Linked DNA regions of Oryzias latipes. Each later gene encodes a partner of the first gene's protein in a complex. Links are inferred from orthologs where the notes say so. Each region holds a gene or a part of one and is shown in the gene's direction. Other genes may lie near its edges. The genes, in order: skp1, fbxl17, fbxo10, ccnf and fbxl5.

The links.
Region 2: the proteins of skp1 (region 1) and fbxl17 are in contact, whole or in part, in a crystal structure (PDB 6W66), measured with the Homo sapiens proteins. The link is inferred for Oryzias latipes from reciprocal best matches to the Homo sapiens genes SKP1 and FBXL17. Residues at the interface, in NP_733779.1 of Homo sapiens: Lys78, Glu79, Lys80, Arg81, Gln97, Gly98, Phe101, Ile104, Leu105, Asn108, Leu116, Asp117, Cys120, Lys121, Val123, Ala124, Ile127, Lys128, Gly129, Lys130, Thr131, Pro132, Ile135, Arg136, Phe139, Asn140, Ile141, Lys142, Asn143, Asp144; in NP_001156787.2 of Homo sapiens: Pro319, Asp320, Ile321, Asn322, Leu324, Pro325, Ile328, Lys331, Ile332, Phe333, Ser334, Asn335, Leu336, Leu338, Asp339, Glu340, Cys342, Leu343, Ser344, Ser346, Leu347, Val348, Cys349, Lys350, Trp352, Arg353, Gln364, Arg370, Gln371, Val373.
Region 3: skp1 (region 1) and fbxo10 share a complex: the UniProt entries of both Homo sapiens proteins name them as parts of the SCF(FBXO10) complex. The link is inferred for Oryzias latipes from reciprocal best matches to the Homo sapiens genes SKP1 and FBXO10.
Region 4: the proteins of skp1 (region 1) and ccnf are in contact, whole or in part, in a cryo-EM structure (PDB 9CB3), measured with the Homo sapiens proteins. The link is inferred for Oryzias latipes from reciprocal best matches to the Homo sapiens genes SKP1 and CCNF. Residues at the interface, in NP_733779.1 of Homo sapiens: Arg81, Asp83, Gly98, Phe101, Ile104, Leu105, Asn108, Leu116, Asp117, Cys120, Lys121, Val123, Ala124, Ile127, Lys128, Pro132, Arg136, Phe139, Ile141, Asp144, Phe145, Val153, Asn157, Trp159, Cys160; in NP_001752.2 of Homo sapiens: Leu30, Thr31, Ile32, Leu35, Val39, His42, Ile43, Trp46, Leu47, Glu50, Asp51, Leu53, Ala54, Val55, Ala57, Val58, His59, Ser60, Gly86, Asn87, Ser300, Val301.
Region 5: the proteins of skp1 (region 1) and fbxl5 are in contact, whole or in part, in a cryo-EM structure (PDB 6VCD), measured with the Homo sapiens proteins. The link is inferred for Oryzias latipes from reciprocal best matches to the Homo sapiens genes SKP1 and FBXL5. Residues at the interface, in NP_733779.1 of Homo sapiens: Phe101, Ile104, Leu105, Asn108, Leu116, Asp117, Cys120, Lys121, Val123, Ala124, Ile127, Lys128, Gly129, Lys130, Pro132, Ile135, Arg136, Phe139, Ile141, Asp144, Phe145, Glu149, Val153, Arg154, Glu156, Asn157, Gln158, Trp159, Cys160; in NP_036293.1 of Homo sapiens: Ile205, His207, Leu208, Pro209, Val212, Ser215, Ile216, Tyr219, Leu220, Gln223, Glu224, Cys226, Arg227, Cys228, Ser229, Gln230, Val231, Ser232, Met233, Trp235, Ser236, Lys240, Trp245, Arg315, Leu316, Gly319, Leu320, Asn323, Val324, Tyr327.

What each region holds. Positions count from the first base shown.
Region 1 is NC_019872.2:4,054,012-4,059,459, forward strand, and holds the end of skp1 (S-phase kinase-associated protein 1), read left to right. Parts: intron 1-2,865; coding exon 2,866-3,006; intron 3,007-3,150; coding exon 3,151-3,186; 3' UTR 3,187-3,738; downstream 3,739-5,448. Other genes in the region: tcf7 (transcription factor 7), read right to left, coding at 5,065-5,437. UniProt on the Homo sapiens protein: Essential component of the SCF (SKP1-CUL1-F-box protein) ubiquitin ligase complex, which mediates the ubiquitination of proteins involved in cell cycle progression, signal transduction and transcription.
Region 2 is NC_019867.2:7,788,530-7,794,708, forward strand, and holds the start of fbxl17 (F-box/LRR-repeat protein 17), read left to right. Parts: upstream 1-2,554; 5' UTR 2,555-2,751; intron 2,752-2,758; exon of another isoform or gene 2,759-2,867; intron 2,868-4,162; 5' UTR 4,163-4,182; coding exon 4,183-4,665; intron 4,666-4,967; coding exon 4,968-5,333; intron 5,334-5,899; coding exon 5,900-6,022; intron 6,023-6,179. Other genes in the region: thioredoxin-like protein AAED1, read right to left, coding at 1-16, 107-175, 354-536. UniProt on the Homo sapiens protein: Substrate-recognition component of the SCF(FBXL17) E3 ubiquitin ligase complex, a key component of a quality control pathway required to ensure functional dimerization of BTB domain-containing proteins (dimerization quality control, DQC).
Region 3 is NC_019859.2:12,621,347-12,627,405, forward strand, and holds the start of fbxo10 (F-box only protein 10), read left to right. Parts: upstream 1-2,241; 5' UTR 2,242-2,374; intron 2,375-2,572; 5' UTR 2,573-2,612; coding exon 2,613-3,197; intron 3,198-4,102; coding exon 4,103-4,915; intron 4,916-5,019; coding exon 5,020-5,169; intron 5,170-5,977; coding exon 5,978-6,059. UniProt on the Homo sapiens protein: Substrate-recognition component of the SCF (SKP1-CUL1-F-box protein)-type E3 ubiquitin ligase complex. Mediates the ubiquitination and degradation of BCL2, an antiapoptotic protein, thereby playing a role in apoptosis by controlling the stability of BCL2.
Region 4 is NC_019866.2:11,076,674-11,082,731, reverse strand, and holds the start of ccnf (cyclin-F), read left to right. Parts: upstream 1-2,315; 5' UTR 2,316-2,707; coding exon 2,708-2,720; intron 2,721-3,749; coding exon 3,750-3,904; intron 3,905-4,067; coding exon 4,068-4,174; intron 4,175-4,271; coding exon 4,272-4,339; intron 4,340-4,785; coding exon 4,786-4,982; intron 4,983-5,378; coding exon 5,379-5,432; intron 5,433-5,722; coding exon 5,723-5,827; intron 5,828-6,058. UniProt on the Homo sapiens protein: Substrate recognition component of a SCF (SKP1-CUL1-F-box protein) E3 ubiquitin-protein ligase complex which mediates the ubiquitination and subsequent proteasomal degradation of target proteins.
Region 5 is NC_019862.2:28,343,420-28,348,300, forward strand, and holds part of fbxl5 (F-box/LRR-repeat protein 5), read left to right. Parts: intron 1-36; coding exon 37-232; intron 233-777; coding exon 778-963; intron 964-1,083; coding exon 1,084-1,209; intron 1,210-1,419; coding exon 1,420-1,574; intron 1,575-1,665; coding exon 1,666-1,748; intron 1,749-2,467; coding exon 2,468-3,178; intron 3,179-3,448; coding exon 3,449-3,597; intron 3,598-4,881.

The sequences.
Region 1 (5,448 bases):
CTTTGGGTTTACTGCTGTTATGGGTTAGGTCACCGGTAAAGGAAAGGCATGAAAGATTGATCTCTAATTTAATGGATCGATTATTGATCCATTAGGCTTGGATCAACGAATCGATATAATCAACCCAGCCATAGTTTATTAATTTAAAAACACGCCTAGTTAAAATGATAAATTCTGTTTGGTCTAATCGTTAAACAAAAAGTACCACTAAAATGCCCTGTTAGCACTTGTTGACTGCTGCACTTGCTGGATGAAAGAGTTCTGGGACTTACATGATTAAAGGAGAAAAGTGTTTTCCTTCCATGTGTGACAAAAGTGTCAGAATAACAGAATGGAAAAATACTTCTGTTTTTTGGTAATACATTTAAATACACCTGGGTACCAAACCTTAGTGTTTTAAATAAGACTACTACTAGTGATGGCAGACACCAGGGATCATTATGTCTAAGACCAAAGTCTAGCTATACCTTCCAGCACTGTTAAGCAGCAAGGATGGTTTTGTTTTTGCTGTCTTCTTGGTCTTCTCAGTAAATTGTGAGGCTGCATCACTGAAATGGTTAACATTAAAAATAGTAAATCAAACCAAAAGTGAAGTATTTTATCAACACAGCCACTTATATTTATAGAAGTTTTCTCAGTTTTGCAGTTGACTTTCTTTTTTGTTAGATTTATTTTTTAAGGTTATTTGTAATAGTTTTTTTATAACTGACTCTTTTGTTTGGGTAACAAATGATTTAAACATTTGTTGCCAGGCAACAGCTGGAAGATGTTTTTTTAATGCCGTTGGGTCGTCAGCGGTCAGAGAGCCGGTAGTGGTTCTCACAAACCAGCCATGTGACGTGATGTGAGAGGTAACCCGAGCAGAACCCAGGAGAGATTGGGAAACGGTTACTGGAAGATCCAGTCATTCCAGGAAGTGAGACACGAGTGACTCCAGAAACCCCCCCCCCCCCACACACACACACACACGCTTATTTTGTTTACAAGCAGAAATGGTTGCTACATTTAACTCAAATGTTGGATTGAAGTTGAAAGAACCATCTGAGTTTTGGGTTTTGAGGTGAGCACTGCTCAGGACAGAGAGCAACTCTTGGGGCAGATGGGGCTGTTTAAATCAGCCCCATGGTATTGATTAAAAACAAAGTCTTCTGTTTTACAAAAGGGGGAAAGAAAATCTTCTTCTTTTTTGGAGTGTAATTTCTAAAAGATTTAGTAAAAGTATTTTTCTTAACTTGAGAGTAACGCTTTACTGACAACTGTCCTTATGGGTGGGTTTAGGCTGTCTGTGGGCAAAATAATAGGGAGGTGGCCCGCAAGAAATTTTAAGGTCTTAGACCACTGGGTGAAAATGTTCATGCCCATTTTTTTTTCTTTTTTAGTAGACATCCTGCGGGTGAAAAATTGTAGCGAAGGCTTAAAAATGCATATGGATGAAGTGGGGTGCAGGCGTGTCATACAGATTTTTCCAGCCCCTCCTAACCCTGATCTCTGCGCAAGATGTCAGTAATGTTCAAGTGATAAATGCTCACTCCTTACAGTGCAGCCTGACTGTGAGAATGTAGGAAATTAGACGACCACTGCATAGTTTGTGTGTACACCTGAACACATGCGGCTTCAGCCTGAGGTTGCTAACGGGTCAGTACTTGCGCCTTACTAACGACTAGACTGTGGTGTAAGGGCACTGTGTTACTGCTTCACCCACTTGAAGTGTGGGCATTTTACACTATCCTTACAAAAACCTCCTGATACATGACAGTGGTACATTCCATTCATGACATCCCATAAGGCAGGGGTCGGGAACCTTTTTGGCCGAGAGAGCCATGAACGCCACATATTTTTAAATGTCATTTTGTGAGAGCCATTCAATATGTTTAAAACTAAACTACAATTAGTCTGTGGATTCTTTTCAATAACATTGTAATTGTAGAGGACTGAGTTAGACTGGGTGGCTGTTGGGTTGCGTTCTAAGTTCCAGAGTTCATTGAACGCATCAAGCAGAGATGCTGGTTGGCCCTCAGTTCTGTCGCTCAGCCTGTCGTTGGGGAGTTCTGACCAATGGGGTTCAGCTGTGGGCCCAATAATGGAAATGGGAGGGCTGGTGAGGGAGGAGGGAATAAAAAGTTGGAGTTCTGTCGGTGGGAGAGATTCAGGAGTTGCTGGATAAGTTGTACGCCATTGGTTACGGCCTACAGTAACCAGAATAAAGAACCTTAAAAGAGATTAAGTCTCTGTGCCTCAGTGTGGGAAAGGGACGCTACATTATGCTGTTGCTAATAAATGATGATTTCATAGCATTAATGTGACTTCTGGTGCTGCATGGTGGTTTTGCTGATGGTCTTGTCTGGTTGATGCGTGGTGAGTTTAAGGCAGTGCATAGGTTTCAGGCTGGTACCAACTCTGTGATATAACAGATAATAGGAAACTGATAGTGGAGCAGATTTTTTTTTCTTCGAGCACCAATACTACTGCCCCCCACCCCCCACCCCGACGTGGCTCGTGAGCCATGGGTTCCCGACCCCAGCCAGGCTAAAGGGAACTACAAGACACACCTGTGTTCCCTTCAGGGTGCGGCCACTCCTCTCTAGGACCCTCCACGGCCCGGACAACCCGATACCCTCCAACCCCCGTACAGGTCAACCCCGTACGAGAGCGTGCAACAAAGTTCTAAAGAAAAATCCTCCATCTTGGTTCTCATGCCAAATGTCCCCATGAAGCATAAAGTCAAAGTTGTTTGTTTGTGTCTGTGGTCTAGTTTTCATCCTAAACTTTTTTCCTGCTTTAGGTCAAGTCAGTCTGCCAGTTCCTGCCGACTGTGCCCTTTTCATCTCTTAAAGGTTTCATTTGGTTTATTTACTTTCTGTTTAGGCTGCCAACTATTTGGACATCAAAGGTCTGTTAGATGTCACCTGCAAGACGGTGGCCAACATGATTAAAGGCAAAACCCCAGAGGAGATCAGGAAGACTTTCAACATCAAAAATGATTTCACAGAGGAGGAGGAAGCCCAGGTACTGATTCCATCTTTTTTTTCTCTTCTTGTTGGACTGAAAAAAAAAGTATTGCACGAAATATTTGATGTGAATGTGTTGCACGGGAGTGTAGCTCAGGGCTGAACAAAGCGTTGAAAGCTCACCGTTCCCCTCTGTCCACAGGTACGCAAAGAGAACCAGTGGTGTGAAGAGAAGTAACAGGGTTTTCCTCAACACTACCACATCCAAAAGGATTGTCCCTGCTAACTGGTTGCACTGGCCATGTTCATATTTGTTAATATTTAGTATATTTAGAGCCACACCCCCCTCCCTACACCTTAAACCCCGCTTCCTTTTATTTCTATTCTCCTATTACTGCATGACCATTTTAATTTGCCTGTGTGGTGTTGGTAAATTAAAGTTAAAAGGCTCTTTTGCATTTTCACAAACTCACATTGAGCACTGACAGAAAACAGTCAGCAATTTGTACTCCTATTAAAAATTACTTTTTTTTTTTTTTTTACTGGACATGCTAGTTGTATTTTAGGTTAGCTGAAAGAAATAAAACAACTTTTTTTGAAAATGAGAAGTCATGGGTGAATGTTGGTTTCTTTGCTCTGTAAATGTACCGTTTTGTGAAGCCTCATTAAAGGAAGCTGTGTGAAGTGGAGACGGCTTTACAGCGTCCGGCGACTCCTTCCTGAGTCATGTGTGGAATTGGAAACCTTCTGAGATGAGCTGATGCTGGTTTAATAAACCAAACCTATCCACCAAATGTGTGTTTTGTGTCTTGATGCTGCCAAACAAACGATCTCTGACGGGATTTAGGGTTTCAGTCAAAAGAGATATTTATATTTTATTACATCCAACAAAAAAATACTAGCAATACAACAGGGTTAAAAAAAAAACATTAAAAAACTCAAACATGGTTTTCTCAAATGTCCTGAAATGAAGCAGTTTTAGCACAAGAGCGCCATCTGCTGGCGGAAGAATCCAAAATCATTCTCTTAAAGCCTTTGAAGGTTCAAACATGCAGATTAAACACAATACATAGTTTGACTGCTGCTGTAACATCTGACCCCAAAACAGTTCTTCACTATTTGACAAAAAACACTGCTTTAAAATAAAAAGGTTTTAAACTGAGCTCATTTTTTTTTTGGTCATTTCCTTTTTTTTCTTAAAAACATACAAAAAGTGTAATTACAATGTAAGACTTTACAACAGAATGCAATACAATATCACCCATTTGGTCTCAGATTTGTTTTTGGAGCTGTTGATTAGTCAATGGGAAATTTAATTTTAAAAAATAACATTAAAATTATACACACAAAAATAAAAGGGAATTTAAGAAAGATGGAAGTAAAAGTTACAGTTGAACCTGAAGCTTGAGAGCCTGAAGTGCCTTGAAAAAAGTTACTTGGAATTGTCTTATTAACTGCATTAAATGCTTGAATGACAAATACAGTTAGTCGCACAGCTGGTTACAACAAAATCCAGAAAAGAAGGGTCTCCGTAAAAAGGCAAACAGAAGAACCAATCCTTCCCTTTTGTAATCTGAGGTTGTAATGGTCAGTGCTCCGCTCTCATGATGTAATGGTTTGCTCTGAGCAGATAATGGAAATACTTCCGGGGGGGGGGGGGAGCCAGTTTTTATAATTGGAAGTAAACTTTAGTTTGCTTTCAATAGAAACAAATCTTTTCTGTCTTTTTGTTGATAAAAACTTAAATTTGTGTGGGTTGATCTGACTCTAAAAAATGGACTTTAGAGGCTAGAGTGGTGCAGTTCTACTTTAGCTTCAGTGGAAGCAGGACCTGAAGGTTTAAACTCCATGCAGATGTGGAGAAGCTGGTTCAAGCGTGTCTCTCTCTACCAACGCCCCCACTTTACCAAAATACACCCAAAGATGGGACTTCTGTTCAAAGAATTACTGTTTTGTCACAAGTGCATCTAGTGATGAAGATGAGGAGGAGAGTTAAGGATGGAGCAGCTAACGAGGAAGTCCTCTGGATCCAGCAGAGATGATGATGATGACGATGATGTAATACTGACAAATGTGAGGAGCAGGTGAGGAGGCGAGCGATCCCGGCGGGCGGTGGTCACTGAGTCTCTGTCAACACTTTGAGGGAGAGTCCCGCCACCTTGGCGGCCGACAGCGCCCTTGAGCAGTGCGTCTGCTTGGACAGTTCCAGGAGCGTGTGGGCGAGTTTGGCTGCAGGTGGGCGGGGGTCAATGCGTTTGTCAGCGGAGGGCTCCGCGGGGAGGCGCGAGTGCGAGCGGGCGTGCGAAGGCAAGGGGAGGCGTGTCGACGGGGAGGAGGGCGGCGGCGAGTAGCCCGGAGAGGGGGGGTGCTGGTAGAGGCGATGGCGGGCGGGGGAAGGGGAGGGGGGAGAGTCTATAGCACTTATATCTGAAGAAGATGGGCTGGGGCAGCCTCCTCCTTGAAGGTAGCGAATGCACTTCTTTTTCCTCCTGAGAACAGT
Region 2 (6,179 bases), on another chromosome or scaffold:
ATTTGACTGCAGCATCCTAGAAAGACATCAACAATGTAGTAATACCTTTGAATATATTTATTTAAGGATCGTAAAGTGGTTTAAAAATGGCAGCTCTGGGACTCACCTCCAGGGCTTTTTGGGGTATTTTACTTAAATCTTCTACATACTCCTTGCAGCTGTAGCATAAGAAGTTCTGCAGGAATACATGACATTAAAAAAGCAGGACTCCAAGGTTTCAATAAGGTTTTTTTTTTCTCCAGTCCTGGATAAGAAGTTCTGAGCATCGTTAGGTTTTCTAATCTAATTCATGTCCAGCCTGCCTGAAAGAGTTTTTCACAAAATAAGAAAGAACAGCAACAGTTTTTTCCTACCCGAACAAAAACGATGATAACTTTCCTGTCTTGATATAAGGACTTGAACGGAATGGAGACTCCGTGTCGGTCGTAGATCAAGCAGTCTTGCGCCTCTTGCAGATCTACAGGCGGGTTTTCAGTTTTTTTCCTGTGGCTGTCTTTGGTTATTTGTCGGGTTACTGGTGGAACAGTTGCAGCCATTTTTTTCCTTCTTGCTTCCCGACACTGCGTGTTATTCTGTGAGTTGCCGTTCAGGCTGGAAAAGCTGCAGCCAGACTGCACGTTTCCGCCCATAACTCTGCGTGCACGCGCACACAGACGCACTGAAAAATATGCGCTTTTAGTGCACAGAAGCGATTGATTATCATTCTGTTAACACTGTTTAAAATCTCCTTTGTGTTGTAAACCTTTTAAATAAAATGATCTTATCTCTTGTTCAACTTGTTAACAGAAATTTATTTTTGTTCACCAATATTAAAATGCATATGGTAACTGTTTATCATTTATTTATTTTATTTGTTTTTGCTTTTTTACATTAGTTTAGTTGGCATACATTTAACCAAATGTAACAAAGAAAGGTTTTCTCAGACTGTATGATGAACTATAAATATTCATTATTATTAGGTTAAAAGAAGTCTACAGTAAAGCTATTATTTAATTAAACTAAGATTCAAAATAGATACCCAAATGATTGATTTTTTTTCATTTTCCTACATACAATTATACAAGCTTTGTATTTTTGTTTTAAATTGCAGAAATGTGTTTGAAAATATGTGTTGTTTAGTTTCTCTGAACACACAAATCCTGGGGAAACTGGGGTACAAATGATGTCTTGCAGGACTTTAACAGAATGCTTTCACAGTATAACACTTGTAAAGTAATACATCATAAAAAAACGTGTTTTTTACAAGTAGAGCAAAAAGTGTATGACACACAAAATACAACAATTTCATTTTAGAAAAACAACAGAGATCAGGAAATCAACAGATGTTATTCGTTTCTGGCCACTTTTGGGCAAAGGCAGGGGACATCCTGGACAGGTTGGCAGTCTGTCGCAGGGTCACAGATCACACACCCATACACACAAACAATGACACCTATGGACAATTTAGAGTAACCAGTTAACCTATGAAGCACAGAAAGGTCCCCATTGGTGTTGTGTTTCAGGTCCCACAGCCAGGACTAAAACTGGGGGCCTTCTTGCTGTGAGGCAAGAGCGCTAACCACTGCACCACCGTGCAGCCCTGTAATGCCTTCATTAAACCACATTTCTATTCCTGTTCTTATTTAAGCTATTTAATGTTTCACAATGGGAGTTGGTGGGGGGTTGAGGGCAATGCGTGTTTTATGTATACTTTAGTTATAGATTTTTGCATGAAGGTTTTGTTTCTATTTTTAAATATGAAATGTTTTTTTTCCCACTTGTTATAGTTTGTTGAGTTTGAAGAAGGTGTTTTTATGTTTCTCTTTCTGTATCACCATTTTGTTTGTCTTTTTTCTTCATATTTTTTTGTGTAAAAATGCTTTTTTCATCTGGCACAATTTAGAGTGGATATGTATGTTGTGTGTGGATAACAAAAGCACAATTTTGTATAACTGACATTTGTTAATCCTTGCTCATCTTTGGTTGTGTGTCATTTTTCTATTTACTTCTCTCATTTCTTTCTCCAGGTAAATGTTTTTCTGTTCTTTTATTTCTCCAACGATTTCTCTCTATACATATTCTTCACCATCGTTTAGCATCAAATTCTTTTTCTTAAGGTCTAGAGCCTAAAACAAAAGACATTTCTTCGAATATAAAAGAGGTTTATATTGACGTGCACCTTCCATGTAAACAACATGCATGAACCAGATTGTTAACTGTCCAACACAGAAGCAGCTGGACAGGAGTAATACAACAAAAATACATCTTTATTTGGTTGGTTCCTTTTTGGTATCTTCAGGATGATTTTTTGCATCCTATGAAATTTTTATTGTATCCGATTAAATCCCGGTCTCTCACATTTTATATTTACTTTGTGTATTCAAAGTCCAATTTGCATACTCTCTGCGTGATATTTTTCTTGAAACAATAAAATTACTCCCAGGATTAAACGAGTAATAAATACAAATCTACAGGTGATGGAAAAATGTCACCCTCTTAATCATCTGATCATCAGTCGTCTGGGATTCTTCTACCTGTTATTAAGCAAGTTTGCTGTCGAAATTGTCCTCGCCGGCTTCTGTAGCTCTGCCCCCCTTCGCTGCGGAAGTGTTGTGCTCAAGTGCAGCAGAGCCAAGCTGCTGGAGTCTGAACAGACGCTTCGGCGGTTGTGTGTTTGCGGCCGCCTTTCTCCGTGTCAGCGCTCACCGCTACCGTCAACCCGCGCAGTATTATGTGAAGAGCGTCCGGACGGAGGGAGCAGCGTGTCAAGTGGTGAGAGCTGCTCCATGTTGGAGGAGAACAGCTAGCTTAGCATCTGTCTGATGATGGAGGAGCAGGTTAGCCTCTCAGAGGGCTCCTAGCTGTTGTCTCCAAAGGAGTTTGAAACTGTGAGCGGATATTTATCATTTTGCAAAGTGTGGGATAAGCGTTTGGCTGCTTTGTTTGTGTGTGGTAAAACCCGACCACCTGTTCAGTGTCTACATCTTTGTGTTTGCAGCAGTCGAGAGCAGCAGATGCATGGATGGAGCTCTCGTTGTTTACAGATTCGACAAGGAGGACGAGCAGTTTAGGCATTAAAACCGATGGCCAATTTCTATCACATTAACTTTGACTCACAAAAGTTGCAGTCAATGTCAAAAGTTGAGAAAAACCTGATTGATAAGTCAATTAAGGATTTCCCTTTTCATTTTTGTTCATTGGAAGAACTTAGCAGTTTACAGGAAAAAAGCCGTTTATTTATGGAAACCTTAATCTTGTGTGTAATCAAACATTGTATGCAATATTTAGCTTTAATACACAGTAATAATAATAATAATAATAATAATAATAATAATAATAATAATAATAATAAATTGTCTTTCTTGAAACTCAAGGTCGCTTTAAATAAAATAGTGACATAGTTGAAAACAAACATCAAAGCAGCAATAAAATATACTCTTATAAAATTGGCCAAAGCAGTCATGTTATTATGGGCTGTGGTGAATAGATGGAGAGAAGCAATGTTTCAGAGGTAAGGGAGTGCTGTTTGTTTCACAGCCTTTTTAATTGGTGTTCTTCAGGCTTTGTACAACCACAGTCCAATTTTTAAAAACTGATTAAAAAAAACATTCATTTTATGTTAAAATAAAAAAAATTGTTTATAAAAGGAATTTCATTTGGAAAAGATCTTATTTCCAGAGTTTCTTTTATTTGATGTTTTCCACATTCATTCGTGGAAGATTCCCAGTAAAACCAAACTTTCTACGTGGCCTCTAATAAGCTCTAAAAAGTTGTATAATGTTTAATTCCATTTTTCTGTGATAGTTATACACAACCTGTAATTGTGAATGGAATGATTTACTACTCAGTTCTGTCACATGACTGGACCAATTAACCAAGCCTATATTTTAGCCTGAATGCAGAGTTCTTCTGGGTCAATCAGTTGGCTTGTCATTTATTTCCAGGTTACTGTCAACCTCTTTCTCAAGTTAAACATGAAATCCTCTGCTGACATAAATGTTAACTTAACTTTGCTTTTTTTATTGCCAATGTCAATATTTTTGAAGTAACCCTGAAAAGTTTTTGTCTAAAGATTCAAGAGGAATGATTAAACACTTTTAGTACTTAATTAACTCTTTTTTTTTTCTCTCATAAATGTTATTCAAATGTAAGATTCCCTTCTGTTTCTTTTTCTTTCTCCAAGAGTTACCTTGAATCTTCTATATGGGCCATCTTTTCTCGAAAAATGGTTTACGCCTGAAGAAGAGGACCCGCAAGTTGCAGCACAAGAAGAAGAAGAAGAGGAACTGTTTCCTGCAGGGCCCGTGCATGCTCTGTTTCCTCGTCCACAGCAATAGCAGTGGTCTGGACGACGACGGTGACCATCTGGAGGCCGGCGTGAACGGGTGTTGCCACAACACAATCACCGGAATCAGTGTCGCGCACATTGGGGGCGTCGGCCTCGGACCAGCAGCTGCCTCAAAACTCGCCGAGCGATACGCAACAATCGCCTCACCTGAGGAGTGCTCCAAGTACCTGTTGTCCCCAAGGGAGCTGGGGATCTGGGAGGGCCAGGGGAGGGGCATTTTATCCGCCGTTCCTGCCAAACTGATTCCAGCGCCGGCTCTTTTCCGAACGGCTGGTGTGTCTGTGACTGTGCCCGTTCCTGTGCCTATACCCAACTGCACCGTCGACTACACTGAGATGGTAGGCACTAACCTCACATTGAAAAGGTGCAGCAGGAATCTGTGGTGATGGGTCAAATTGTTTTGCTTCATGGTGCCTTCAGCTGGTTACTCTTGGAGGAGTAAATATTCATATTTTGATCATTTATTTAAAAGAGAGGTTTGTGTTTGGGCTTGAAAGAAGGCTGGTTAGATATAACTTTAGATGGTCAGAAGTGGAAGACATTTTCATCAGTGAATAAATAAGATAATCAGCTGAATGTGAGCCTGGTGTGTTTTGGTTGAAAAGCACACCTTTACATGATTGTGTGTTTCTGCCTGCAGGTGTGTAAGAGGAAGTGCTCCGAGGTGCACAGGTGCACCCCTTGCAAGCAGCCGCGCTGTGCCTTTGCCGCTCCTGACGGAGGGCTGGAGCACGACGGAACGGGAGGAGAAGAGGCTGGCTCCAACTCTGAAACTGGCCACTGCCACCTTCCACTATGCCCAGTTCCCTCCTCGTCCTCCTCTTCCTCTGCATCCGCCTCCTTGCCTGCTGATGGCTGCTGCGGGCTGGGCCTTCAAATGGACTCGCCCCACAGCTCAGACTCCTCCCCCTGCTGCCTGAATCACTATGACGACTCTCAGGCGAGAAGTTCTGATGCTGTTGATCACTTAAGTATCAACCACCTGCCTTCCTCCATCCTTCTCAAGGTCAGAAGGGCTTTAGTTCATCATTTTTTGTTCCCATTTACTTAAAGACCCAGTCCGATTAAAACGTGTTTTTTTTAGCATGTTCTTGTGGCCTTTATCTGATAATGGAAGGCATATGTAAAGAAAATGTAGCTCAAATTGCATTGTTGAGTATTTCTTTACTCAAATAGTTGTGAATCAGGAGAAGACGAAAAAATGCAGTTTGAAAGAGAACTTCTTTGTGACATCAAATACAACTGGCGGTCCACAAGCTCCCTCCTCCGCTCCATTCTGATGCATCCACTTGCAGACAAATAGATCCATATCTGTCATTGTTTTCCTAATCTGGCTCTAAACTCTACGGCTGGATAGCGTCAATAAAGTGGGAATACTTTAAAAATAGATCAAAAGATGATCAGAGTGGGACTTCAACTATGTCAACTAACTATGTCAATACAATGATATTTTTTGTGTTTTATGATAAATGCGCAATGAAATTAACAAGGATTTTCCCTGTTATAAACTGTTTTGTCAAACGAGCATTAGTTGTTAATCAGAAATGCCTCCTCCTCTTCCTCCCACCACAGGTGTTGTCCCACCTGACAGTGAAGGAACGCTGTCTTTGTGCCTCTCTGGTTTGCAAATACTGGAGGGACCTCTGCTTGGACTTTCAGTTCTGGAAGCAAATCGACCTCAGTGGCCTACAACAAGTAAGAGATGTCACGCTCTGAAGCTGGTCTTTGAATTTTGTAAAAATATTACTTCCTGCTGTTGTTTTTTTAGTTTCTGTGTATTTAAAAAAATTCAGTAATTCCATATGATATGAGTATGCCTGTAAAAACTATGCAAGATCTGATTTTTATGTCA
Region 3 (6,059 bases), on another chromosome or scaffold:
TGCATCTGTTTAGGTTATTTCTTCATATAATCTAAGTATGAGCTTTTTAATTTTTATTTTCACTTCATACAATAAAACTACAAAACATTTTTTTCTTCAAACAGCATATTGTTCTGCAAAGTGATCTGTCAACCCTTTTATTAACTGCTAACTTTTGCATGTGAACCATTTGAGTCCTCATTCATTGCTCTTTCACTCGGGTCCTTTTGCGGGTCTGAACCTGCAGGGATATGAAATTGAAAGGTGGTTTTACTTTTAAGAAGCTTAGCATGTCCAACAGAATCCTTCACTTTCCCACTTTTGCATGACGAGTTTTGCAGAAGTGGGAATGTTTAGTGTGTTATTTCCCCTTTTTATAAAGACAGATGAATTAACTGAAAAGCACAAAATGCAATTTTGAAAACTAACGTTTTACTTCAGATTTTGCACTATGTTTCATAAAAGCAGTTTAGTCGAACTGGCTGCAGAGGGACATCGCCATCTGTTGGTCAAAGTATAAATAAGTGTAATGTAAATGTAAATCATCAGAGTTATCCACCTATGTGGCTCCACCGGAGCATTTAAAAATGACACTGTGTAATTTCCTTCAAACTACACAGATATTAAGCTAATTTTCTTTGCATCACTGAAGTGAAATGCTTCCCGCCTCACAGCACAGTCAAGTTAGATATATGTTGAAAGCCAAAAACATTTTAAGTATTAACGTTCTTGTGGATAAAGCTCATTGGCCATTTCTGCCATTTTCAGAAGGACATTTATAAAATTCCACCAGTACATAAGTATTTTTTATAAATGCCTCTGGAAAAATATTCACTTTGTTAATTATGTCTTGTAGTTTTCTTGAAGGCTTTGCCATGCGCCAAAGCCTTCTTTGTATTCCATTACATTTTTTTAATGTTTTCCATATTAGTTTAGTTTAGTTTAGTTTTCCACAATGTGTCACAAACAACAAAATCACCTCACATATTGGAATGGCCAGATCAGTCTTTTCTGATCCTTAACAATATATCCATAAGTATAAACATCTGTCTGTCTGACAGGGAAATCTAGTTTATCTATGTTTTTTATTATTATCATTAAATTTTGAGATACTCAACTAAAGTTGGAAAGATAAAACTTTTAAAAAGTACATTTATGAAATAGTTATTCTCTTTACTATATGTCTCACTAATCTAATCCATATTTGTTTTAAAGCAATTTAACACTATAAGGAATGCTGTGCAGATAAACAAAAATAAAAAAGAGCACATAAACATTAAAAAAAATGTAAAAGTAAATATTAATTAAAATGGGGCTCTAGAAGGCAACGCATAACTAAAACAATTAAAAGAAATAAATAAAATAAATTATAATTTACCATAAATAAATAAAACTTTAATAATTACCACTTATTGCTAAAGGGTCAAGAAAAACAGATTTATTCTAGCTCTTGCTTTAAGTCAGACTCAGATCATCTTTTAGTCTATTGTAAAAGCATTCCAGGGGCTCTTTAATTATGATTATGCGTTTTTTAGTCAAAATCTAAAAAAAACTAAACTGTGTCATTTTGTAGGACAGTTCCTTCAGAGCTGCAGCGGTTCATTTGTAATTTACCTCTGATTTGGAGTAGAGTAAGCCTGCCCTCACTTTCTGTCATCCATCTGTTTACATGCTCTCCCGCTAGCTTATAGCCTCTCACAACCCCGACCTTGCAATGAAATGGCGAACAGTATTGGACCTATCCAGCCGTACAGTTCTCAGCCAGATTCCATCTTAGACGTGGGCAATAAAGACATAAATTGATAAACTTCACAATGGAGCTTGCGGCTTGCCGCAGTAGGTGCTACGTTACATCTATTAGCTATTTCCAACTTCATTTTTTTTTGTCAGCTGCTGATTCACAACAATTTGAGTGAAGTACTAAGAAATGCAGTTTCAATCTAATTTTTTTTTTACATATCTCATTCATGAGAAAATGCAACAAGAACATGTTTAAAACACCAACAAACATGATTTTTATTGGAGTGGGTCTTTATGCTATATGATTGTAGCTGTTCAGAAATCAATAAAGTTCGTTTTTGTAATCTGAACCCTGAAAACTTGTGGTAACAAGGATCGAAATTAATTTTAAAAATAAAAAAACTGATGCTTAAAGGGCAAAACAAGCATCTTCTTACAGTGAGTCATGATGAGCTGACTGGTGTTCATCCAAGAAAACCAGTGGGAGGATTTTGTACACGCCCACTTTTTGGGGAAGCGGAAGATGGGCATCTCTGTTTGCCGTAAACTGGTTCGCTTGGACGGTCGCAGCTCCGCCGCAGACATGTAACGCTGAGAGAAACCGCTATAAACATCGAGCCGACATGCATTAATGTGTCGGAGTAGCGACTGAAAGGTAGTGTTTCCATATTTCATGATGCTTAAGATTCGAAATAATTAGTCCTCTCCTGCTAGCAAACAGGTGGTGACCGCTGCAAAGTTCACGTGAAACGCGAAATCGCTAAATAATAATATGGAACCCGTTATTATTTCTACAGTAAACGCAATGAATTATAGTTGTGACGAAGTGTTGTTGCTGCTTGTTTCCATCCAGGTGCCGTCACGGTGCTTCCCCAGCCGGCGGCTCTGCTGCCATGGAGGTGGGGAGCCTCCCCATGGAGTTGTGGCGGGTTATCTTGGCCTATCTCCCCCTCCCTGACCTGGGCCGCTGCTGCCAGGTGTGCAGGGCTTGGCGGGAGCTCATCCTCTCCCTGGACAGCACCCGCTGGAGACAACTCTGCCTCGGCTGCTCCGAGTGTCGGCATCCCAACTGGCCCAGCCAGCCTCACCTGGAGCCCGCCTCGTGGAGAGAAGCCCTGAAGCAGCACGCCCTGGCCAGCCGAACCTGGACTCGAAATGTGCCAGAGCTCCAGTCCTCTGCCTGTCTTCACTTTTTCCGGCGACGCAAAGACCGTAAGGTCTGGCACGTCGGACCCGGTTGTGAATTTGAGAGCCTGCGTGGGGCTCTTGGGGTGACGGGACCCTATGACCGGGTTGTTCTTCATCCAGGGGTCTACGAGGAGCAGGCTGAGGTGGCGCTGAAGGTGCCCGTGGAGCTGGTTGGCCTGGGGCGGCTAGGTGAGGTGGCCCTCCTGGTGTGCATTGAGCAGCAGTGCCCCACTGCCAGACTGTGCAACCTGGTGTTTATGCCACCATGGTTCTCCACTGTTGTCTACAGGGTGAGGGACCAGCTTGTTTTTGCATTGTTTTTATGCAGTACATGCAAATGTATCACCAGAAGAAAAAAAAGAAAAAAAACAGGTCTTACTTTGCTAGAAAGAAAGAAAAATCCAGCACTAATAAACCAGAGGTTTGCAACCATCAACACTTAAAGAGCCACTCAGATCGATGTCTTACAGACCCCAAAGTCTTATTTAACCTTCTAGAAAAAACAATTTGTATTCATTTTAGTGTTACTATTATGATAACTGATAATAAACTGTTGTTTTTTTTTTTTGGCATAAATAAAACCCACACATAAAGACAAATACAATTTTCAAAGCATTGAACAGTTTATAACTTTTGACAGAGATTTACGTGACTTCCTTTCAAAAAAAGACACCCTGTGTCACATAAGTTTATTTCACTGCAGTAGTAGTACTGTAGTGAAATGTCAGCAGTGATTAAAAAAACAAAAAAAGATTTTTATTTTACTCTTTGTATTGCATCTCAGCTAGAAGTAGGTAAATCTAACAAAATAAAATTGAATCAGAGCTAGTTACTGTTTTTTTAACCATAAGACACACTTAAGATCCTTGAATTTGTTCAAAGATAAAACATATTTTTCGTGATCTGATGCGGCTTACTTGAGGTTGTGCTCACTAACCTTCAATTGATATTCTGTGGCACATGACAAAAATCAGTCAAAATGTTTTAGTTCAACTTGTGATACGTACTTCCCTTCAATTTTTTAAAATCTGTTAAATAAAGTTTGAGTTAATTTACTTTTGCAGTTACTTTGTTAAATTAAAAACGTTTTTTTCTTTAACTGTAGAGCCACAACGGAGGGATTAAAGAGCCTCATGTGGCTGTGGAGTTTCAGGTTGCAGACTCCTGACCTATTCTCTTTTCTTTTCTCCCTCAGACATCATGGGGTCATGTCCAGATGGATAATTGCAACTTTGAGGGTGCTCAGTTGCAAATTCGTGGCCCTGGAACCTGCCAGGCGCGTTTCTGCTCCTTCTCTCAAGGCAGCTCTCTCCACTTATTCAGTGTCTCTCTCAGTTTATTAGACAGCTGTGACTTCTCAGGAAGTGACACGGCTTCAGTGACCGTGGAAGGTCCCCCAGTGTCTGAGAGGAATTGGGCTTGTAAACACTTGGCTGCCCTGGCCAGGACGTTCCCATCTGGGTTTATTAGCTCTCCTAAAGCCCCTCGGGCCAGCTCCACTGGCGGTAACCCTGCAGGAGGCAATGCAAAGAAGGAGCCCGTGAGCACAGAGGAATGGAAAACAAGGATGGGTGGAGATGCGGGGTGTCATGGAACTGTTATCGAAGACGGCTGGAGTGATGGCGATTGCAGCGAAGGAGATGATGAGAAAAAAGATGGCAGGGGAGCCAACACTGCCAAAAAAATGTTTACACTGGATTACAAAATCCCATATGACCATCACGGTCTTGCTCACTTGTTAAAGCCTCTGGAAGATGGCACTCTGCCAGCCGCCTCGTCTCCTTCACCTCCACCTGTTACCCCAGAACCCCTCACCCTTCAAGAAGAGTTAGAGAGGGATCAAGAGGCGCAGATAATGGCTGCATCAATCCTTGGCTGCATTGTCAGACGCTGCCTCTTCAGGGACGGAAAGGGCGGTGTGCATTTGTCGAATTATGGACAAGGTCGACTGGAAGAAAATGTCTTTCGGGGGCTGAATTATGCTGTCCGCTGCATCCAGAACGCCACGGTAATTGTAGTCGATGCTGTTAACACATGTCAAGGAAGTGTTTCACTTCATGATTAATTCAGCAGCTTTTTTGTTACCTGAGCTGTTTTTCTTCCCTCCTTCAGATCGTAATGCTGAGAAATGAGGTGTGCGAGTGCTGTGCGTCAGGAGTGTTTCTCCGCTTGTCTGCTCAGGGCCTGATTGCAGAAAATAACATCCACTCCAACGGGGAGGCAGGGTTGGATATTCGAAAAGGAGCCAACCCAATCATTCTGGTAAATTTACAGGCATTTACAATTGCAGCTGGATTTATATTTGAATTGTGTTTAAACCAGTTTTGGGATTTGAATTTGGATGAGAGGGTTATCAAAGTCCTTTTCTTAAAGACCAACTCCGATGAAAATAATGTTTTTGGTGTTTTTAACATGTTCTTGTGGCATTTTTCTGATGATGGAGGACATATAATAGGAAAATTCAGCTCAAAATTACATTTCTGAGTTTGTATTTATTCAAATCCTTGTGAATCAGGAGCAGATGAAAAAAATGCCGTTTGAAAAACTGTATTTGTGGAGTAGAAATTACGCTGGGCCAGCAACAACCTCCCTGCTCTGCTCTACAGTATTCTGATGCATCGACTTGTAAACCTCTAGATCAGGGTTCACCAACCCTGTTGCGGTAGCGCACGAGGAACAGGGTTGGTGACCCCTGATCTAGATCCATGTACGTCTTCCCTTTCCTCGTCTGAGCTGGCATCTGGCTCAAAACTGTTCAGCTGGATAGCTCCAATTTTCCTCGCCTTTTCTGTTGCACTGGTAATGTTAGGTTGGGGATGTGAAGGGCTGTAAGCTACCAGGAGATTGTAAACAGATGGATGACCGGAAGTGAGGGCGGACTTACTCAGCACCAACGGTTCCGCCCGCAACTAAGAAATGCTCTGCAGAAGCAATGTTCTAAAAACACACAACACAGGTTTTTTAATTTAGGCTAAACTGTCATAATCATTATTAAAAGACCATTGGGTACGCTTTTACTATAGATCATAAGATGATCGGAGTGGTTTTTTTCTTTTTTCTCTTGTTACAGTGCAACAAAATTCACAGTGGTTTGCGCTCTGGGATCGTGGTTCTTGGCAACGGGAGAGGTTCGATTCGGAGCAACCTGATAT
Region 4 (6,058 bases), on another chromosome or scaffold:
CTGCAAACGGAGGTAAATCTGCTTATGTCAGTGGAAGTTTCTTTCACATTTTTAGTATGAAAAAATAACTTTTTGTTATATGCTGACGGCAGCTGAGGAACCAAGGTGGGTGTGGAGGGAACCATGTTTAGATCTTGCTACAGGGTGGAGGGGGCTAACAGGGACAAAGTGCAGATGGGTGGAAGTGGTCATTTGGATTGCAAGGGTCAGCACAGATCACAGGAAACCAGATGGGAGCAACTCATCCGCCTCTTTATCTCCAGGGTTTGGCTTCAGACCCAAGCATTCAGCACAATTTTGGCCCACATGCAGCTGAATTTTACAAAGCTGACAAAGGTTCAGAAACATGCAGCATACGCCGCAACATGACTTGATCAAATCTGGCCATGAGCCACTGGTGGCCTGATGGTTTTATTAACCATCGATTCAAATCAACAGCATCTGTGTAAAAGATGAATGTGTCTGTTTTTGATTAGTCACTGCCTCCAGCAGCTGTCTAATGCTACCTTGGTGATGAGATAGGGGATTGTTTTTGGGATAGCTGCTTTTGGAGACAGGTATAGACTGAAACTGCACAAGGCTGACCAGACATTCAAATGCAATTAGATGTTAAATTTTATTAAAATGAGTCTTTCTGTAGTTATAGTAATGCAAACAAATGTGGGGAAAAGCAAGTGAATGGAATGGTATCTGAACATGAAAAAACACAACTTCAAATTATGCATCAGTCATTTCAATTTCCAATATGCTGTTTATTTTGTCCTTAGTCTATTCGTTTTAGGAGAACAAAACCATAAAGAAATAAAAAGTCTAATTTCCAGATGTGCTACGACATGTTTTTTTGGAACAATTTTACAACTGGATGCTTTTGATGGAGAAAATCAAAATGTCATTTTTAAGACCCCATTATGCTGCCTATTTGTTATCATTTACTTTGTGGGGTTTTTTTTACCTGAAAGTGGCTGCGATGGGTTGGAGTTTCTATGGAAACAGTGCATCCAGTTGAAGATGTCACAGCCCTTGCCCTGACTGAGGTCACTCAAGATAATTTGATTTTGCTGCATCTCCAGTGTTAAATAGAGCAAAGAATATTTCCCATAGTGAGTTAAGAGGAAATACACTTTCTTTATTGTGCAAGTCAAGATAAAAATGGGAAATAAATAATATTGCCGTGGAACCTTTTTTGACACTTCCAAAAGCCTTTGCCCTCTTAAATGTAATTACTGAGTAGTAGCTTTGTTTGTAGCGATGAGATTAGGTGAACAGGTGATGAACCGATCAATAGAAGGCTTGAAAGCAACAAAGGACTGACTGTGCACTCTGGTCCTTTATAACCTCCTTCCAAAAACTAGCAATCAAGAGGACACTATTCAGCTAACAGAGAAGTTTATTTATCGTCAATAGAGACGCAACAAAAAGGTCTTAATCATGTAGTTTTCTCCGAGGCAGCTGCAATAGAGGCCAAACCAATCTGTTGCTTTCATTCATTCATTTGTGTTGTCGGTCACATGGTTACTGAGATGTGAAGTGATGTGTTTTTGTGTGGGTTGGAGGGGGGGGACTCGTTTTTGTTATCTCGTTAGGACTTTTGCTGGTATAAACAGAAACCTTGTCAGGGTTAGAAACCCTTTTGGGTATGAAAGATTGGTCCAAATGAGGCAGGATGTAATTGCTGGATTCCTGGGTATGGGGGCAAAGGTGTACATGGAGGTTAAACTATGGTAAACTAGAACCTTAGGGGAGGAGGGGCAAAATCCAATAAAGCCAGGATATTATATAAAGATTTGTGTAAATCCATGTTTTGCTCTCAAAACTGCAGAAAAATAATATATCCTTACATTTTTTTCAAGAACTGCTAATTATATCAGGAAATTTAAATTTGCATTTAGAGTAAAGAGAAAACAACAACGCTTGTAAATTTAAATCAAAAGTTAAGAAGTTAAAGGTTTGCACAATACCAAAACATAAAAATAAATAAATAAAACTAACAAAGAAAAATGTACATTTGTTGTTTTTTATCTTATTTACTTAACAGTGAGCTTTTGGTTCAAACTTATTCTCCACAGTTTGAGTACCAATAACGTAGTTGGAGCTGTTTTTTTTTTTTTTAAGTTCTTCTATTATACCACTGTGGGGAGGGTTAATTTGTAGCTGTCCCTTTAAAAGCGGTACCTTTAAATTGTCTATTTTATGTGACTACATATCCCATGGTTCACTTCAAAATGGTCGCTCTGTGGACAGCTTCATATTCAGGTCATCCAATTATTTGTGCTTTTGGGCGAGCGCGTACTTCGAAAAGGCATTACGTTATCCAATAGAATTCTCTACTTTTCCAGTTTATACCGTATGGCCAACCACAGCCTTCGCTCTGCGGGATGACCAATCGGAAAGTCTTGATGCAACGGATGGGCGTCACCACTTTTCACCAATCAGATTAAACAATGAGTTTAAACCATGGGCGCGGGCGGTCCTAGACCGCTTTCGGGGCGGGGCCAAATGTGGACACGCTTGGATTTGAATTCAGGCAGGAGCTAACAATTTATAGGATGTTAGCTGGTGATAGAAAGACAGCAGATATCGTATCATTCTTAATTTAGTTTTCTGACAAAAGCAGCAAATAATTTTGCTTGTTTTAGGTGGTGTCGTCACTCATTATACGCACTTGTTCCGTGTTGTATCTCCATACATCGGTCTTGAGCCACTTGCAATGAAAGCGGGCGGTAAGTAGATTTTAAAAACTTTCTTCCTACTAATATTTATATCTTCCGTGAAACAATAGTTAAATATTTTGCCTTTTATGAATGTAAATATATAGTCTGTCTTTATTTGTAAGTATTCAGAGAGTGCAGTGAAATTTAGCAACTAAGTAAGCGATGTACTAACAAAACTTGTTCTATTTAAGTTAATACAAACCTAAAATCAAAAATAAAGTCCATAACCTTTAAATTAATCTAGCTTGTTTGTTGTAGTAGTATTTAAATATATATAACTATAAACTAGATTTAAAAATAAAGAACTCAAGCTTCAATCGGAATACGGGAGGGAAATTTGGGCGCTCATCTGATTCGATTTCTTCAACTCAGAAACTTACTTCAAACTATTTTTCTGCGATTATTCAGGTGCAATGTATATTTAACACAACATTTTTTTAAATGAATCCTTATAAAATGGTTGGTGTTTGTTTAAATCTTTATCATATTTATTCAAATATGCAGAGAAGGCCACACGAGGGTGTCAAACGTTTGTCATCTTCATGATGGAGGGAGTTGAGAATTTACTGTCATTTATCTTGAAGGGTCTTCATATTTTCAACTTTTTATCCTTAATTTTCATCTATTTACAAAAATATGACCAAAATAGTGTTTAACTGTATTTTATGAAACTTTATGCTAAGTGAAAAAGTTATTGCTGTAGAGACGAGGCTTGCTGTAGAATCTTATTTCTTTCTTTTTTACATTTTTTTTTAAAATAGGATTTGATTATTCTTGATTATTTTTTTATTTTATTTATGACCATCTTGACCAAATAACACAAGAGGAGGCAACTGCCTCTAAAATGCCTTTATAATGATGTGCAAATATTGATTTTCGCACAGATGTGAGAATGAGTTTTTCGCATTACCCTGTGAAGTGCTTTTGTACACTTGAATGAAATTCTGTACATTTCTGCGTGCATTAAAGATGCTGCTCTAGAGATGCATCCACAAATCCATGTATTGATGACTTTTTCCTCCCTTCCTCTGTCTACAGTTGTCCACTGCCGTTGTTCAAAATGTTACTCGGTTCCAGTGCGGAAGCGGGTTCGTAAACGCTCGTCGTCCCTAACGCTGCTGTCTCTGCCTGAGGAGATTCTTCTCTGTGTGCTTCAGTGTCTGTCTGCAGAAGACCTCCTCTCTGTTAGAGCAGTAAGTAATGATGTATGCATTTGAATTGTGCAGTTTGTTCTTTAACATATGTGCTGCATTTTGTCAAATCTCAAGTGACTGTTCTTTGCGCATCTTGTGACTAAAAACTATAAAGTTTCTTTTTGTTCCTGCTTTTGTTAATCTTATTTTGTTTTGGTTGTAGGTTCATTCCCAGCTGCGGGATATTGTAGACAACCACTCCAGTGTGTGGGCCAGGGTCAGTTTCAGAGACCGATGGCCATCCCCCAACACCTTATGGCTATTTGAAAAGTATGGTTCCCTCTTACAAAAAAAGAAAGAAATTCACTGTTCTGACTGCTTGTCATTTATCGAGTTTTTAACTGCAATTTTTTTTTTCTCAATCTAGAGCTGCAGAAAAAGGGAATTTCGAGGCTGCTGTGAAACTTGGGATTGCTTATTTATACAATGAAGGGCGTAAGTGCACTAAAGGCTACATTTCCTGAGCAGTATGTATTTTAATCAAAGACAAAATGCTCTCGTTCTCAAGAGCAATAACACAACATAACATCAAAAACACCTAAAGACAGCTTTACACTATCAAGGGGTCTTCAATCGCATCCTCAAGGCATCATTATACATTGCTTGCAGCCTCTGCATCCTCAACAACTTTTAATTACCCACAAGTGGGCAGTATATGAAGTATGCATTAGGAGAAAAAAATATAAAACTTGCCTTTGTGTGCGTCTTCCAGCACTATCTACCTCAGAACGGTATATTTAAGATGCTCGACTGGCGTCTAACAGGAATATTTCAAAAACACATGGTTAAAAAAAGTCAGAAATTTTTTTTTTATAGCTTAAGACACTTATGAGTTTGTCTTGATATGAACCTTTTCTACTGTCTTCCCTTTTGTTCTTCAGCGTTGCTGAGTGATGAAGGGCGAGCGGACGTCTGCGGTCAAAAGGCCTCCCACTTCTTTAGCCTGGCGGAAAGCGTGCGCTCCCCCAAAGCCGACCCATTCACTTGGGTTTTCATCCGTCCGCCGTGGTCACCCACCGGCAGCTGCTGCAAGGCCGTGGTGTTCGATCACCTCAAGGCCGAGTGCGATACTAACATGGTAGGTGCTGCTGCTGCTGTTGTTGCTGCTGCTGTGGCTCCATCGAGTCCATCCTGAGGAGCCCTGTATCTGTGTTTCTTTAATCTTTAGCTTTGTCTTCTATATTTGACAGACAACAATATGCTTAGAAAAAATCAGTCTAAGGTCAGTGGAGGGTAGAATCTGGGTTTTAGGTGCTTATTATCAGCAGATTACATTTTAGCAGAAAAATGATGGCCTTGATGGTCTATTTTCTGCTCCTGGAAAACACTGACACTAGTTCCTGCTGAAACTATTACTAGCATATCGATTTTAATGCGTTTACACACACCAAAGTACTTTTATCGATCTATTTTTGGTGGAGATTTTTCATTCTTTCCATGTGTTCCATTATTGATTCTTGTGCTTCCTCTGCAGGAGAAGAAGGGTCCCTTGTTGCACTGTTTGGCCAGAGTTCTGCTGCTGTTTGAGGTGAGTAAAAAAGCTGGGTTAAATCTGGTTGTTTAGGGCGTTGTTGGTTCAGTTTCTGTCTGCATGTCATGAATATGTGTGCTGTTTGTCATGGGGGACTGTGTTGGGTTAGTTGTTAGGAGCCCACACAGATAAAATCATTGTTTTTGTCTGTTCTATGTAACTGATTCTTATTCACAGAATCACTGTTTGTCTGTGTTTACGAGCATGTTTTTCCCAATCAATTTTTAAGCACAATGTTTTAGGCGATTTTCATAACGTTTGAGGGATTTTCATCTTCTTTTTTTTAGGATGATGGGAGAAGATCAGAGGCCATATCGATGCTGGAGGAGTCGTCACAGGCTGGCTGTCTACAAAGCTCATACCTGCTGTGGCTGCACAGTCGTAAAGATGCTGTAAGCTCAAATGGATCCCTCTGTAAATCCTAATACTGAAACCGGGCCTTTGCATATCTGTCAAAACTGGTTAAGTCCCCTCAAACCACTTCTGGAAGGAGTGGATTTTACCAGATCACTGTTAACAAAAGGACAATCCAGCTTTATCTCACAAAATGGAAATAGCAGTAAAAATAGGCGGGAATCAAACATTTGGAGTCAAAAGACATTTTTAATTGAGAGCAAACCAGT
Region 5 (4,881 bases), on another chromosome or scaffold:
AGCGTCAAGCTGTGTTTTAACGGAAATGTGTTGCAGGTGTTTCAGCCGATGCTCATGGAGTACTTCACCTACGAGGAGCTGAAAGACATCAAGAAAAAGGTGATAGCCCAGCACCACAGCCAACAGCACGGGGACTGTGCTGCCGGTGTGCTGAAGGGATTCCGTCTGTGGTCGCAGGCTGAGGAGCTGCAGAAAGCCTTTAAATATTCGGATCATGAGAAGACAGACTACGGTGAGTGTTTGTCCAAATGACTAAACTTGTTACAGGTTTCCAGTTAAGTGCATGACAAAGATGAGTCAAGCGTCTGTTGAAGGCCACACACTTCTTTTTTTGTCTTATCTTCAGTCATGTTTTAAAAAGGCTTTTTATGTAATCCAGCAGAGAAACAGTTTTTTTTTTAAATGAACAGCAACAGATAGATATTATGACCCGTTACCAAAATATGAGACTAGTTAAGGCTTTATTTGGGGTTAGTTGTGTTCAGCCCTCTAATGAACTGATAAACTGTCCAGAGTGGAGCCCAACCATAGCTGGACAGGCTCCAGCATCCCTGTGACCTATGACAGGATTAAGCAGACATAGAAAATGAATGAATGGATGGAGTTGTGTTCGTCTGTGATAGGAAACACAATTAGCAGGATACTTGAAGCCTTTTTTTTTTTGCTGTAAAATACCAACAATATTTGTACAGAACATGGATTATTTTGAGATAATTTTATCATTGTGGTATTTAAAACATTCACATGCTCTTCTTTTTTTCCCCCCTCCATCCTCAGACCTGGAGAAGAAGCAGAATATGTCAACCAACATCTCACACCTTCCTGCAGAAATAATGCTGAGGTTGTTCCATTATTTGGGCCCTAAGGATCTGTGTCGCTGCAGTCAGGTGTGCAGTTTGTGGTGGCAGCTGGCCAAGACCGGCTCTTTGTGGAGGCACCTTTACCCTGTTCGCTGGGCCCGAGGTAAACCTCAATTCATGGTTTTCATCTTTTCTTTTTGAACCAAGTAGTTGTTTTTCCTGGTAAAGATGATCTTGTAGATGCTTAGGCATCCTTGTTTCTAAAGTTTTTTTTAAAACACAGGCGATCATTATAATGGCCCTCCTGGGGATCTGGATCAGGAGCCAGATGAAGAGTGGGTGAGGAGTCGAGAGAATGAGGGTCGAGCTTATCAGAAGTGGGACGAGGACGCTGATATTGACGAGTCAGGTGAGGGCCAATAATCACTTCAAACATGCATGAGCTGAACGTTACCAGGGTCATGTGTGTGTGCTGTGAATAGTTTCATCATGACTATTGTTTTTTCCCCGGGTTTGAGTGGGGAAAAAAAAGTTCCAATGTTGAAGGTGGATGGACCTGCAGTGTGTGGTAGTTTATTGTGTTCATGAGGTAGTGACTAGATAGTGTTCTTCTCGTCAGATGTTTCGGGTCACACAGAGGGCTCGCTTGCTATCAATATGGTGCAGAGAGAGAAGAAGCTCCTGAATGGGATCATCCAGAACCTCCTCCCTGCTGTGGGTCCGTCAGTCAAATCCATTATTCTGGCCTACAGTTCAACAGTCTCAAGCAAAATGGTATGCGGCGCTTGTCCAGTCAGAGTTGCATTGCTGCCATGAGATTTGATGGATGTTAAGCTGAGCCTGAAAGCTTAAATGTCTTTTCCAGGTCCGTCAGATGGTCAGCCTCTGCCCCAACATCACTCATCTGGATCTGACTCAAACTGATGTGACAGACTCTGTGTTTGACAGGTACAAAATACTTCCTTTAAATTAGAATCTGGTTCTGTGGATTGAATGGCGACAGAATTGACTTCATTTGGTTGGAGCTGGAAATAAATCATTTTCTACGGATGACATCACAGTCAGTCGGACCACTTCTTCAGGGGTCATCATTACATCGATTGCGATAAAGGACATGTGGGTAGATCACGCGCCATCATAGATAAAAAAATCCCCCAAATTTAAATGTATATAATTAAATTAGCGAATCAAAATCCTCTCCAAGAAGTATATGACTTGATTGACATGCAGAAAGGCCAATAGAACACCCTCTGATACATGCATCACTCCACACGTGTGTTTAAATACACTGAGAACATTGTTTCTGCCCCACGGCGCGTCAAGTCCCCGGCAGAGGACCACTCTCGCCCACAGGAGTGTTAGTTGAGGCCCGGGTCGCCCCGCGTGCCTCTTCGATGGCGAGCGAGACCGTCTGACTAGGCTGTCCTGCCCCTGCAGCTGCTGCCGGCTCCGTGGTTCCCGTATTATTATGTATTACTACACAAATAATATTACACACAACAAAGCTATCTCTTCATGAAGATGTAGTTTTTGAATTTTCAACGATATGTACTAATAGTTCACAATACTATGTCATTAGATAGATATTAGAAATATACCGTACATGTATGTGGATCTGTGTCTGCGTGGAACTCAGAACACTGAGCTTTGTTCTCATTTTTCTCCAGCTGGTCATTCCTGGGAGCTTGTCGTTCTCTGGAGCACCTGGATTTGTCGGGATGCGAGAAGATCACCGATCTCACCCTGAAGAAGCTGTCTACCGGGTTAGGGGAACTCCCCTCCTCCTCCTCCTCCTGCTCTGACAAAACCTCACAGTTGAAAAGTTTCACCGCGCACATCGATGAGCGAAACCTGCACGCGTTGGAGCGAAAGAAGCAGGCCATCGTTTTCAAGTACGGGACTCGGCGCTGGGGGGGGCCCTGCATCCCAACGCCGGTGTGGGTTGTGGAGACCTCCGACCTGGCCGATATTGAGGACGCTGCAGCGTGGAGCCGGCGGGGCGGGATGCCCCTCCCTGAAAGCTTCGTAGAGACGCAGCTGATGGGCGGCTCTTGCTGTTGCAGGACGAGCAGAAGGCAAGGCCACCGGATGGGGTCGGACGCCTCATATTTGCATCAGCAGTACGCCATGTCGGGGGAAATATTCTGCGGTCACTCCACCTGCTGCTCAGGTGACATCGCCCTCAGGACGTTTACAGTGCGCGAAAGCGTGTCGGGCTGCGGCAGGAACGCCACTGCAGGATCTCGGACTAAATGCCCTCCACTGGGAGGACTGCAGTGTCTGCAGCCTGAAAACAGGACTGACTGCTCACCCGCTAAACGGGCGCTGAAATTTCTCAGTCTCTCTGGATGTTACCAAATCACCGACCTGGGCTTGAGGTAGTTATCCTCTATTTCTTTACACAAAGACTCACTAACACAGTAAAAAACGCTTCTATTTCAACACCTGAGGTGTTAACTAAGGTGGAGAAACCAGCATTATTATGCAAAGATTTAATCCCCAATGAGGGATCAGTTATCAGAAATCAATGGCCTCATTGACCAATGAGAGCCGTTATACTCTCCATAGCAGTTGCTATGGGAAACAGCGTCCTGATAAGGCTAAGTCTGGAGTAGCACCACTCACCTCCCCCTCCATCTGTGTTTCAGGACTTTGTCCCAGCATGGAGGGCTTCCCGTCATGGAGCATCTCAACTTGTCTGGTTGTCTCTCCATCACTGAGGTGGGGCTGCAGGAGCTGGTCTCAGCCTGCCCATCCCTCAATGATGAGCACTTCTATTACTGCGACAACATTAACGGTAACACAAGCGAAGCTGCTAGCAGCTCATCTTCACCCTGACACAAAGTCATGCTTGTTGTTGATGTTTAGTTCTTGATGAAGCTGCTTATAGATTCAGTAAAGGAAATGGGTATTTGATCCCCTAGTAACCATTAAGAGTTCTGGTTCACACAGACCAGTTAGACTATCCTGATCAACCTGTCACCTGAATTGAAGGCACCTGTTTGAAATAATCACCTGTAGAAAAGACACCTGTCCATAGAATCAGTCAGACTCCAAACTCTCCAACATGGGAAAGATTAAAGAGCTTTCAGTTGATTTTAAGCAGACCAGAATGGACTACAAAACCATTGGCATGAAGCTGGAGGTTAAGGTGACATCCGTTTGTGTAATTGTGCCAAAACACAAGAACATGACCATCAATCCACCTGTAGGTTTGAGGCTCCAGACACAGTCTCACCTGGGGGGGTTTCCACAGTTATGACAACAGTAAGGAACGGCCTAAAACAACACGGCAGGAATTAGTTGATGATCTCAAAGCAGCTGGAACCATAGTCACCATGGAAACCACATGAAACCACCATGGTTTAACATCTTCCAGTGCTGGCAAAGTAGCCCTGCTTAAGAAGGCACATGTGCAGACCCACCACATGTTTACCAATGAACACCTTCATGGTTTTAGAGTAGAGAGGGATTGGGACAAGGTGCTGTGATCAGCTGTTTGGCATCAACTTAACCCGATGAGTCTGGAGGGAAAAAAGTTGTTCAGCATGGAGGTGGAAACATAATGCTTTGGGGGTGTTTCTGGATTGACGGAGCCATATTCTGTCAAATCCTGAGTGACAACCAGCTTCTCTCCACCAGGAGGCTTAAATGGTTCGTGGATGGGTTCTCCAACAGGGTCATGACCCAAAACATACAAGGAACGGCTAAAGAAGCATATAATGGTCATGGAGTGGCTTCAGCCAGTCTCCAGAAAGAGAGCTGAAGCTCAGAAGACAAACTTGAATAATTTAGAAGTCATTTGCAAAGAAAAGTGGACCAAAATTCCTCCTATGTGCAGAAACTCCAAGAAACATCTGACCTCTGTGCTACTAATCAGGGTTTTGCCACAAAAGGACTACGTTTTCCAGGCTAGAGGGATCAAATACTTGTTTACCTCGATGAAACCCAAATAAAAGTAAAATGTCTAAAGTTAATTCATTGATTTTCTATCTCTCAATGTTCAAATGAACCTACCAATAAGAGAAAAGACTTCTTTTTAAGTGAACAAACCTACAATATCACCATGGGATCAAATAGT